Caenorhabditis elegans: one gene and its partner. The protein of the gene in region 1 interacts with the protein of each later gene in a pairwise test. Each region holds a gene or a part of one and is shown on either strand. Other genes may lie near its edges.

The links.
Region 2: the proteins of ztf-6 (region 1) and ztf-28 interact in a two-hybrid assay, tested with the Caenorhabditis elegans proteins (one large-scale study listed by BioGRID).

What each region holds. Positions count from the first base shown.
Region 1 is NC_003279.8:11,204,905-11,212,410, forward strand, and holds ztf-6 (Zinc finger protein ztf-6), read left to right. Parts: upstream 1-2,017; 5' UTR 2,018-2,081; coding exon 2,082-2,198; intron 2,199-2,505; coding exon 2,506-2,616; intron 2,617-3,295; coding exon 3,296-3,874; intron 3,875-5,000; coding exon 5,001-5,360; intron 5,361-5,724; coding exon 5,725-5,865; intron 5,866-6,262; coding exon 6,263-6,397; 3' UTR 6,398-7,001; downstream 7,002-7,506. UniProt on the Caenorhabditis elegans protein: Probable transcription factor, involved in regulation of dopamine neuron lineage specification. May play a role in maintaining robustness of the Wnt/beta-catenin asymmetry pathway.
Region 2 is NC_003283.11:2,088,796-2,092,266, forward strand, and holds ztf-28 (C2H2-type domain-containing protein), read left to right. Parts: upstream 1-1,873; 5' UTR 1,874-1,885; coding exon 1,886-1,997; intron 1,998-2,058; coding exon 2,059-2,705; intron 2,706-2,760; coding exon 2,761-2,820; 3' UTR 2,821-2,945; downstream 2,946-3,471. Other genes in the region: gtnt-27 (Glycosyltransferase family 92 protein), read left to right, coding at 1-194, 805-952; gtnt-26 (Glycosyltransferase family 92 protein), read right to left, coding at 2,958-3,252.

The DNA of each region.
Region 1 (7,506 bases):
GTTAAAGTTAGATGATGATGGGCTGGGGGGGAATGGGGGATTAAGCAGCTTTAAGGAGGAATGATGAAATTGGCGCCGAAAAAGAGCACTACAAAAACTACAAATTTTTTGAGCCTCAACCAATTTTCATTTGAGCTCGATTCCAGCATCGACTTCTGTAGTTGCGTGAGGTTTTGAGAAACTCAATTTTTGAGCAAACCTCAACCAAAGTTTCTACTGGGAATTACTAGACACCTAGCTGAGACCCTGTTTTTGGTGAAGCCGAGACTACAAACTGCAATGTTTGTTGGCCTCAACCATTTTTACTTTTAGACAACTCGAGAATCCGGTATTTGGGCTACAAACTACAAAGTTTGGGGTATGCGGCAATTTGCCGGTTTGCTGATTTGCCGGAAATTTTCAATTCCGGCAATTTTACCAATTTGCCGATTTGCCGAAAACCGGAAGCCCCTGGTACAAACTATTAAGTTTGGTTAGCCTAATCTTGTCGGAATTTTTCTGAAGCATCAGTTACAGGTAGCAAACCTACCGTGACGATTTGCATCTGAGTGACTACAAACTACAAAACTAGTTAGCCTCAACCAATGTGCAAAAAATCTCCCTCGAATCTTTCGACATCTTCTCGGAAATTTTAGACACATACACTAAAAACGTGTGTGTGTTGGTAATTCGGTGATGTCGTTGTCTCTCTAAAAACGGACGGTGTGGTGGTGGGGGCCACCTTGAAGGTCACCCGTACAGAAAAACGGGAGTGTCGGTGGGCGCCGGGCACCGTCCCGTCCGTCTATCCATCCGTGAGTAGGAGAGTGTCATCATTGAATTCAGCTGCGCCTGAATTGCAGAGAAAAATTGTGTGTCGTCCTTGAACGCGCGGGGGGCTGGTGTCTCTGCAATCTCTCTCTCTCGCAGTTTGTGATGAATTTCAAGAAATTTGGCATATGTTCTCTGAGTAATACTGGGTCCTTTTTCGCTTTTCAGAGGTACTTGACCTTCACCCATTCAGTTCGGACCCCCCTATTCAGTGAGAAAATTGTAGGTTTTGTAGAGGTCCAAACATACCTATTTTGAATAATCTACGGATTTTCTGATAGTTTGAGCTGAAAATTAGGGTTTTTATAAGCTCGGAATGTATTTTTTTAAAGAATTTTTCAATTCAAAATTGATTTACCTATCCTGACATATTGTGCTGTTTTAGGAAAAAAAATTAGCTTACCTCCCAGTTTTCGACCTTTATTTTCCACATTTCCCATTACAGATTGCTGTTTTCATCTTGAAATTTTTGGGTTTTGACTAGAAAATTGATTTTTCCAGCTTAATTCTGGGTTCTTCTCTACATTTTCACTTAATTTCCACTATTTTCCACAGTTTTCGCACTGTTTTTCAATTTTTTCTCCGCTTGAAATTCTCGAAATTTGAATAGAAATTTGATTTTTTGCGGCTAAATTCTTCATTTTTTCTCACTACATTTTTCCCGTAATTTCCCAATTTTATTTTGCATTTTTCACGTGGTTTCAGGCTGTCCCTTTCGGTTTGATCTACGTTGATCTACAAGAAATTGCATGGTTAAGAACGTGCTAATGTCACATTTTTTGAGCAAAAAAAAACCCGCATTTTTTGTAGATCAAACCGTAATGGGACGGCCTGGCAACACGTGATTTTCCAAATTTTCTGCTCCCGATTTTCCAGTAATTTCCCTTCCAAAAATCGAATTTTTCCATTAATTTTGAGCTATTTCTATAATTTTTAGGCTAGAAATTTGTTTCGAAACGCATTTTTTCACTAAAAAATTTCTCTAAAATTTGTAATTTTTTTTCGAATTTCCGCAGAAATTACACTTTCTCCGAAATTTTTATGTTGGAATTTTGCTCCCAAAAACTCAATTTTTGAAAAATTCAAATTTTCAATACTTCCCTGCCATTTCTCTAATTCCGTGCATTTTTCCACCTTTTTCCACCGATTTTTTTTCTAAAAACCTCCCTTAAAATCAAAAATCCGGCTAATTTTTCCCAATTTTCAGCCAAAAATTAGACTAGAATACCATCAACCACCACCTACACCACCATCACCATCATCAAGAACAAATGGGACCGGATACGACGTCGGAACGTGTTAGCGAGGATCTTATGCAGGCTGTCACATGTCTGAAACGTGTGATGGTCGGTATGAAGAGCAATGGGACAGATTATGTTCAGGAACAGGTGCGGCTACCCGAAAATTTGAAGAAAAACGATCAAAAATTGACGTTTTTAAGACAGTTTTTCGGTTTTCTCATAAAATTTTAGTCCAAATCACTGAAAAAATGGAGAAAAAAGGATGAAAATGGACTACAAACTACAACTTTTATTAGCCTCAACCATACAAAAGTTGGGCTAACGAAGCTTTGTAGTTTGTAGTCACTCGCTCCTCCATTTTTTTGGTTTTTTTTTTAATTAAAAAAATTCTTCTAACTAAAAAATCACCGCTTTTTCTAAAATTTCAGCCATTTACCAATTTTTCAATTTTCAGACTCCCTCCAACAGCACTACCGTAATATGCACACTTGTCAAAATCACCGGAGCACTGGAACGATGCATCGAGAGCAATAAAGCGATGAATGATGTGCTCAACGGGAAAATGGTGAGCATTTGAAAAAAATTGTGCAAGAATGCTCAAAATTGTGTGTGTGTAGTTTGTAGTCTGAACATTATAGTTTGTAGTTTAGCATCCGGTGACTGCAAACTACAAATTTAGCTTGAAAATATAATTTGAAAAGTTGAAGCTAAAAATTGAATTAAATCGCAAAACTTTAACGAAATTTTCAACAACTTGATTTCGTAGTTTGTAGTCTAAGTCCTTTGTAGTTTGTAGTATGGAGTATAGATACTACAAACTACATTAAATGGCTCTGGCTTCAAAATGTAAAAAATCGAAATTTCTAGGATATTTATTCCTCAACATAGACACTATAAACTACAAAGTTTACAAACAAAGAGGCTGAACAAGTTTTGTAGTTTGTAGTCTAGACCTCAACACAAGAACTACAAACTACACAGATCTTTGAGATTCTGCTAAAGTTTGTAGTTTGTAGTAGTGTTAGCCTCACCGAAATCAACACGACTTCTATTTTCTTCAATATTTGGACTACGAACTACAACGAAAATTTTTAGAAACACTACAAACTACAAAATTCTTGTAGTTTGTAGTCTTAGCCTCACTCAAGTATAATGTTAACTTGAGCCAAATCGAATTATCCCTCCCCTCCGTCTTCCACACATCCCCAGTGCCTCATTAATTTCATTGTCTCTTCTAATTACAGAAATGTACAACATGTGGCGCAACATCTGTCGGCCTTCTCTCGGATTGTCATGACAGTGCGACAAGCACAACGACTACCGTATCACACAGATCATCAGAAGAGCCACCGCGCCGAAAACCGTCTGCCGCCGGCGGCGATCACGATGACGAAGAGCTCGAGTGCTCGTCCATCGAATCACGAAGCATCCGATCCGTGAGCAGTTCAGTACACACTAGCGCCGAGGATGATGAGACGAATCAGACGATGATGGTACCGACGGATGTAGCCGATGTGATCAATGCGATTGTGGCAGGAACGAACGGCTCCAGCAACTCCAACACCACCAGCTCCTCGAAATCCCCTCAGGAAGAGGAAGAAGAGCATGATCTTGTGATGAAGTCGATCCTGTCGACGACAACGTCCACGTCGAATACAAAGCTGGAATTGAGTGAAAAACTGGAGAATCCACTCCAAGACACTGCTCTGCTCGATCAATTCCTTCAGGCATCGCTTCTAGGCCAGACGCCTACAGTCACGCCTGCATCGGAAGAGAATGAGGAGGATAAGGAGCAGAATGCGGTGCTGACCAGCTTTTTGCAGGTAGGGATTTATTTGAGAAATTTATATCGGCAAACCGGCAAATCGGCAAACCGGCAAAATACCAGACTTGAACCGCGCTTTTTAATGTTTATTAACTACAAACTAGACATTTTGCCTACCTGTCAAGTTACAGCTCTTATTTGTAGGAGGAACCATTTTAATGAAAACTGAATTTTCTAGGTTTTCCTTGAAAATTATGGAAAAATTCCCCGCTTAAAACGCAAAAATTTCGTCAGAAACGGTAAAAAGCCAAGAAATGGGCGGGACCAAGACGCGGAAATTCTAAAAATTAGGCTCCGCCCCTATTTCTTGGTTGTAAGAATTTTTGAATTTCTAAAAAATTTTGACAAACTCCGTGAAGGAGACCTAGAATTTGAGAGAAAATTCGGTGCAAAATGGCGAAAAAACCAAGAAGTGGGCGGAGTCTCAAATTGACTCCGCACTTGTTTTATGGCTCCATTTTGTACTGAAAATTATAGATTTCATTCAATTTTGGAAAAAATTCCGCCTTTTGGAAAAAATCCCGAAACCAACCAAAAAAGAGTTACCCTGTTAGTTGAGGCTGAAAAAAATTGTAGTTTGTAGTCCCTAATGACGTGTGGCAAATCTCATTTTTCACAGCTCATTTGCCGCTCTAACATAGATACATTCCTTGACATTATCTGGACGGTGGTACTGTAATTAACTCGTATTACCGTACGTTTTAATTACAAATCAGATCGAATGGAAATTATGTTAATTTGTTGAGAAAACTGAAAATACTGCTGATTGCAATGGCGGCCGACATCCTACAGGTCAAAGAGCATCTGGTTGTGTAGTTTGTAGTCTGAGGTTAAAAGTCCAGGGGCACTACAAACTACAGAGTTGATTATCAATATGAACGAAATTTGCGAAAACTGGATCAGGTTGAGGGATATACATATCCTGTAGCCTGTAGCAGGGGTGGCCGGAAAACGATTTTTCCGGCAAATCGGCAAATTGCCGGAATTGTAATTTCCGGCAAATTGGCAAACCGGCAATTTGCCGATTTGCCGAACGGCAATTGCCACCCAATTCTGGTTTGTAGTCTAAAATTAATAAAATTATTAAAACGAAATATTTGCAGTCGTAACTTTACAATTTCCAGATTCTGTTCGCCAACCAACAAGCCGGCAATGCGATCCTCGACGCGGGCTCCAGTGAAAATGACGGATCCACGTCATCATCCCAACCATCACCACCAGCCGATCCAACAGCCTCACTTGACTCGCTGGCAATGTTCGAATCACTTTTAGCCGAGTCGATGAACGGGAATGTGCTCGATGCGAATACCTCGTCAGCTGACCAGAAAGCGGCGGCTCGCAAGCGAAAGAGCACACCGATGAAGGTTCCGAAGTCGGAAAATGGTGCTGGATATATTTGTCCGATGGATGGATGTAATAAGGTGTTCAAGGAGAAAGGATCAGTGCATCGACATTTTGTTACGCATATTGGAATGCGTTTTAATGTGAGTATTTTTAATGTGAGGCTTTGTCTCAGGTTTAGACTAAGTGTACAGCTTAGGCTTGAGTTTAGGCTTAGGCTTCAGGCTTACACTTAGGCTTAGGCTTACGATTAGACTTAGGCTTAAGCTTAGGTTTAGGCTTAGGTTTAGGCTTGGGCTTCAGGCTTACACTCAGACTTAGGCTCCGACTTAGGCGTAGGCTTAAGCTTATTCCTCCTATAAAAAATCGAAGATTTTCAAATTAAAAAACAAATTATTTCAAATTCGCTTTCTTTAATTTGCTTCAATTCAATCACAATTTTCAACATTTTTTTTTTAATTGTAGTTTATAGTCTTGAAGCCTCAACCAACATCCAATATTTTTCAGTGTGACAAATGCAAGGCCTCGTACACCCAAAAGCATGCTCTAATGCTCCATCAGAAGATTCATGCCAATCCGGACGCCTATCAGTGTAGAGGATGCGGTACCAATTATACAACACAAAATGGTCTTCGATTGCATAGACAGGTAATACGAATTTCCATTTTTTTTGTTGAATGTTGGAAAAAACCGAAAAAAAAATTGAATTTCGCGCCAGAAAAATTTTTAGAACAAAAATTAAATTTGAATTTTTGGAAATAAAAATAAAAATTTATTTTTGGAAAAATTTTGAATTTTACTATAATTTTTTTGAAGAAATTTGAATCTAGCGCCAAATGTTTAAAAATTTGAATTTCGCCCCAAAATTTTTTGAGAATTAATTTGGTTCGGACTAAAAATTTAGAATTTCGCGCCAAATTTTTTTAGAAAATAAATTCAAGTTTAGCGCCAATTTTTTTTATAACGAATTTTGAGTTCTGCGCCAAAATTTTACGGAAAAAAAATTGAATTTCGAGCCAAAACTTTTTTGGAAAAAAATTTTCAGAGAAATCCAGCATGCATGGAAGTGAGCAACGCCCTTGAATTCAACACCTCCCTGAATACCTCAATTAGTGAAGCGCTGTCTGGCCCGCTGAGCAAAAACTCGTCGCCCACGAAGCAAATGGTCTCGGCTCCGTGAAAAGTTTTTTTTTTTTTCGTTGCTTTCCCCCTTTTTAGACCTCAAATATTCCTGTACTCTCCGATACGCGTGCAATTTTTATCTCAAACAGACCCACCAAAAGCCCCACCCAATTTATTAGTGAAAAAAGGTTTTAATAATTAAAATAATTATTATTTTATATCGAGAAATCAGATAAGTTTTATTATCGATTTATTGATTTTTTTTCCTGTCTTTGTGTGTTATTTCCTGTCTCTATCCTTGATTTTATTACGCAAATTTTTTTGTTTGGAAATTTTTTTATTATTTCTATATGCATCTAATTTCACTTGTTCTTTTACATACAATTCGAAAATCATAATAATTTTTTTTTCTCGCAAAAATCTCTGAAAATCATCCTTTGCATTTTACACCCCTCCCCACTCAAAACCGTCATAATTTAATTCCCCACTTTTTTTATGGATCGATACTTTTTATGGCAATAATTTTTTGTTTTTTGTACTTTTTTTTGGACTTTTTTGTCCAAAATTACCCTCTTTTTTGGTGCTTAAACCCCCACCCAAATATTCGTTTTTTTTGCTCCCTTACACACACCGAATGCCTTTACAATAAAAGACTTGTATTTTTTTTTTGAATTTGGATATTTTGAAGAAAAATCGATTATACGAGGTTTAAAAAAAATTTGGAAGAAAACTTATTTTTTAGAATATTTTTTTCCGGCAAAACGGCAACTTGCCGGAATTGAAATATTCCAGCAAATTTGCCGAATTGTCGGAAATTTTTAATTACGGCAGTTTTGCCTATTTGCCGGAAATTTAACTTAAATTTCCCACCGAAACTTAAAAACCATTAAAATTTGAATTTCCAGACTATGTTTTTCTTAAAATAAAATTTCAAATTTGGCGCCAAAATTTTTCGAAATCAAAAAGGTTTGAATATCGGATCAAAAACCCGTAAAAGTTTTTTTTGAACAACTGAAAATTGAAAAAAAAAATTTTTAACCCAAAATTACGTGAATTCAATGGCTATTCAAATTCAACAGAGCTTTTATTTGAAAATCTTAACTAAATAACAAGTAGGATCTTTAAAAACTTCACCAATTAATACCGTAATTAGTGTCTAGAAACCAA
Region 2 (3,471 bases), on another chromosome or scaffold:
TTCACCAATCTGCAAGACACCATCGAAAACCTGGAGGCGCTGAAATTCCGGAACACTACTAGAACTCAAATCTGGGAATCTTCAAAAAGTATATACCGCCCGGAAATGGTCGCCGTACAAACCTACCATCACACTCATCTACAGTATCCCGGCGTTATCGTGAAAAATGTTCCCAGGGAGACTGCCGGGTTTAGGTAGGTTTTACACATACGTGAAAGTTTGCGATTTTTGGACCAAAATATGGTACTCGGTCTCGACACGAAAATGTTTTGTTTAATACTAAAAGGTGTGTGCCTTTAATGGGTACTGTAATTGCAAACTTTTGTTGCAGTGGAATTTTCTTTCGATTGTTTTCTGCAGAATAATATTTTTTATCGAAGAACTATGAAGAGCCCACCAACGTACAGTACTCCTTAAAGGCGCACACCTCTTCGAAAATACAAATTATCGTGTCGAGACCAGATATCGTATTTTTAGCTCAAAAATCACAAAGTTTCGCGTGTGTATAATAACACGGTCATATGTAAATTCAAGCAGCAGCTCGTGTACTTCTCGAGGAGAAGTGTGCATTTGTTTTTTGCAGAGATTTTTGAATTTTTACTGAAATTCTTGCCGATTTTTGTGTATTATTTTTGAAAATAGTGAGCATTTTAGACTGAATTTTCTAATTTTTTAGTGTTTTAGGCGGAAATTCTGTAGAAAAAATTACCGAAAATGGCCAAAAATCAGGAAATTTTTGCCAAAAAACGCACACTTGTCCTCGAGGAGTACACGAGCCGCGTAAATCGACACTGACATTTTCAGACACTACCGAATGACCTCCGTCAGAAATAGTATCGGAAATGGTTGGATTTACGGCGACAACTTCACTATAACCGAGCTGGATAGGGAGCTGGAGAAGCTTCTGGTGCATAAAGTTGCTAATATGGCTGAGCATATTTATGGGTCTTGAAATGAAGAAATTGCAGTAACTTACTGTACCGGTTTTGTATTCCTTTTTTTTCATGTCGAAATAAATCAAATCACAAAGTAGCGCCAGTGGGAAAATTGCTTTAAAACATGCCTATAGTGTCACAATGGCCAAATATCATAGTAAAAAAATTCAATTTTTTTTTCTAAATTTTATATGACTTTTTGAAAATTGGAAAAATCTCAGTTTTGCCCGAACTGCAATTTGAATTACCGCCAAGAGAATTCGTTCGATGGAGCGCGCTTGCACGTTTTTATTTTTATTTAAAATTAAATATTTATTGTTATTTTCACTCATTTTTCACCGATTTTTCATGTTTTCAGTGTATTTTTTTTTTGAAATATAAAGAAAAAATTAAGATAAATTCAAATAATCGATTGAAAACCTACTTTACAAGCGTAGAAACAAAGAAGTAACACTTTTAAACGACGTCGACCCTGAATTAATTAATTTTACAGATTTTTTTCGTTTAAAAATATTATTTATTAATTATATGATTAATGTGATTAGTGAGAAGCTTTTTTAGTCTACTATCCTTGCAAAAATTTTGTAGGTCAGTAAAAAAATTCTTTTTTCTTCTACACTCAAAATAATAAAACTGCGTTGCGTGTACGACCAAATAGGCCCCGCCTTTTAATCGTCCACTCACGGGAAAAAGGCAAAAATATGGGAGGGGGGGGACAGCTCGCCACGCCAACAGTGAGAAAAATAGTGTGGTGCGCGGACCTCGAATGATGTCGGCTGCTGATATTGGCTACACCAGCCGCTTTTTGCCTTTTCCCCGTGAGTGAACGAGAAAAAGGCGGGGCCTATTTTGGCGTACACGCAACGCAGTTTTATTATTTTGAGTGTAAATTGATGTAAAATTCTAAAATTTTTCTTCAAAATGTCCTCTTCTTTCAGAAAATCAGCTTCATGGATACTTCCGATCACAAGCCCCTTATCGACCGCTTCGAAACGGAATTCGCTGAAAAATCGTCACTGCTTCGCAAAGAAGAAAGCGAGCTTAAGCGGCCGGATCTCAGAGGTGAGTTTTATTTTATTTTTTTTTGTAATTAAAAAAAAACATTAATTTTTCCATTTTTCAGGCGATTTCCTCTGCTTGTCCTGCGGCCAAAACTTCAAGCACGGCGCTTCTCTCAACCGCCATCGTAAACTGGTGCATAGCGACGAGTACACCTGCATGCTGTGCGCCCGTAAGCTCTACCTGAAGGAGACCGTCCGTGATCACATGAGAAATGAGCACTACTTGGGTCAAGTATACACCTGCGGATGCTGTAACTGGACGTTTTCCAACAAAAAAGCCCTCACCGAACACGCAAAGGCCATACAGGAAACCGGAGCTCCAGGAGACGCCAACCCGATTGCGAAATCCGGCAATTCACCGGGATCACTGCTGAAATCGCCAATTCAAAGAGCCGGCTTCAAGCTTAATCGTCTTTTGAACAAGTCTCTGTCGCCGTCGACTTCCAATTCAACAACGTCCTCATCTTCCCGCGACGCTTCAGGATCGCCCCAACCGGAGCTGGAGCTGAAGCTGGAGCCAGAGCCAGAGCCAGAGCCCAATGAAGAAGCTCTCGAGTACAAAAGATTCTTCAACAATGCAGTCGACACAATTCTACAGAGAAATTTTTTCACCGATCAGCAGATCACTGAAGTCGACACATGGGTCATAATCATCGAAAGTGCGAATGCTCTTGCGACGGCGCTTCAGAGCTACAAGAAAGCTCAGCAGGTAGCTAATTAAAACATTTTTTTTAAAGATAAATTTTCAAAAAATAATTTTTCAGATCCAGCCAGCCGAGCCAGCCATGATCCCAGAAAAGCGCATCAAGCCGGAAATTGAGTAATCGTTGATGTTCGAGTGTCTTCATTATGTTTATAGTTCTACCTCACTGCTCACTTTTTGATTTTCATGTTATGTTAATTTACATTTTCAATTTTCGATAAGCTTTAATACATTATTTTGATTAAAAAAAAGATCCAATTACTGATAGCATCCAATCTCATCACTAAAGAATGCATCACTCGCCCAATGGAATGTGATTGGAAACATGGGCGGCCCGGAGTGATACGTGGCATCTGAATGGGTACACGGCATCGCTTCTCGTTGTGAAAGCTCACAATCAAAAGCATTTACACACGTGGATTCTGCAGAAAGAAGGCCGGCGTCTCGAATGTGATAAAATGATTGATTATAGCACTGGAATACGATGTTCGTATAAAAATCATCTTTGGGCAGAGAGGAGGTTAAGCTGGTGAATTCTGGCTGGGAAATTGTGCTGAAATTTTTTAAAATTTGAACTTTTGAAATTGTGGTTCCCGGTCCTGACACGACACATTTTTGTTGAATGCAAGTGTGTGCCTTTAATGAGTACTGTAACTTTAAACTCGGGTTGCTGCGTAAGGTATGAAATATCGATAAAAAAACCAGAGTTTTTGAAAATACAGTACTCTTCAAAGGCGCACACCGCATTTACAAAAACTGGTCGTGTCGAGAC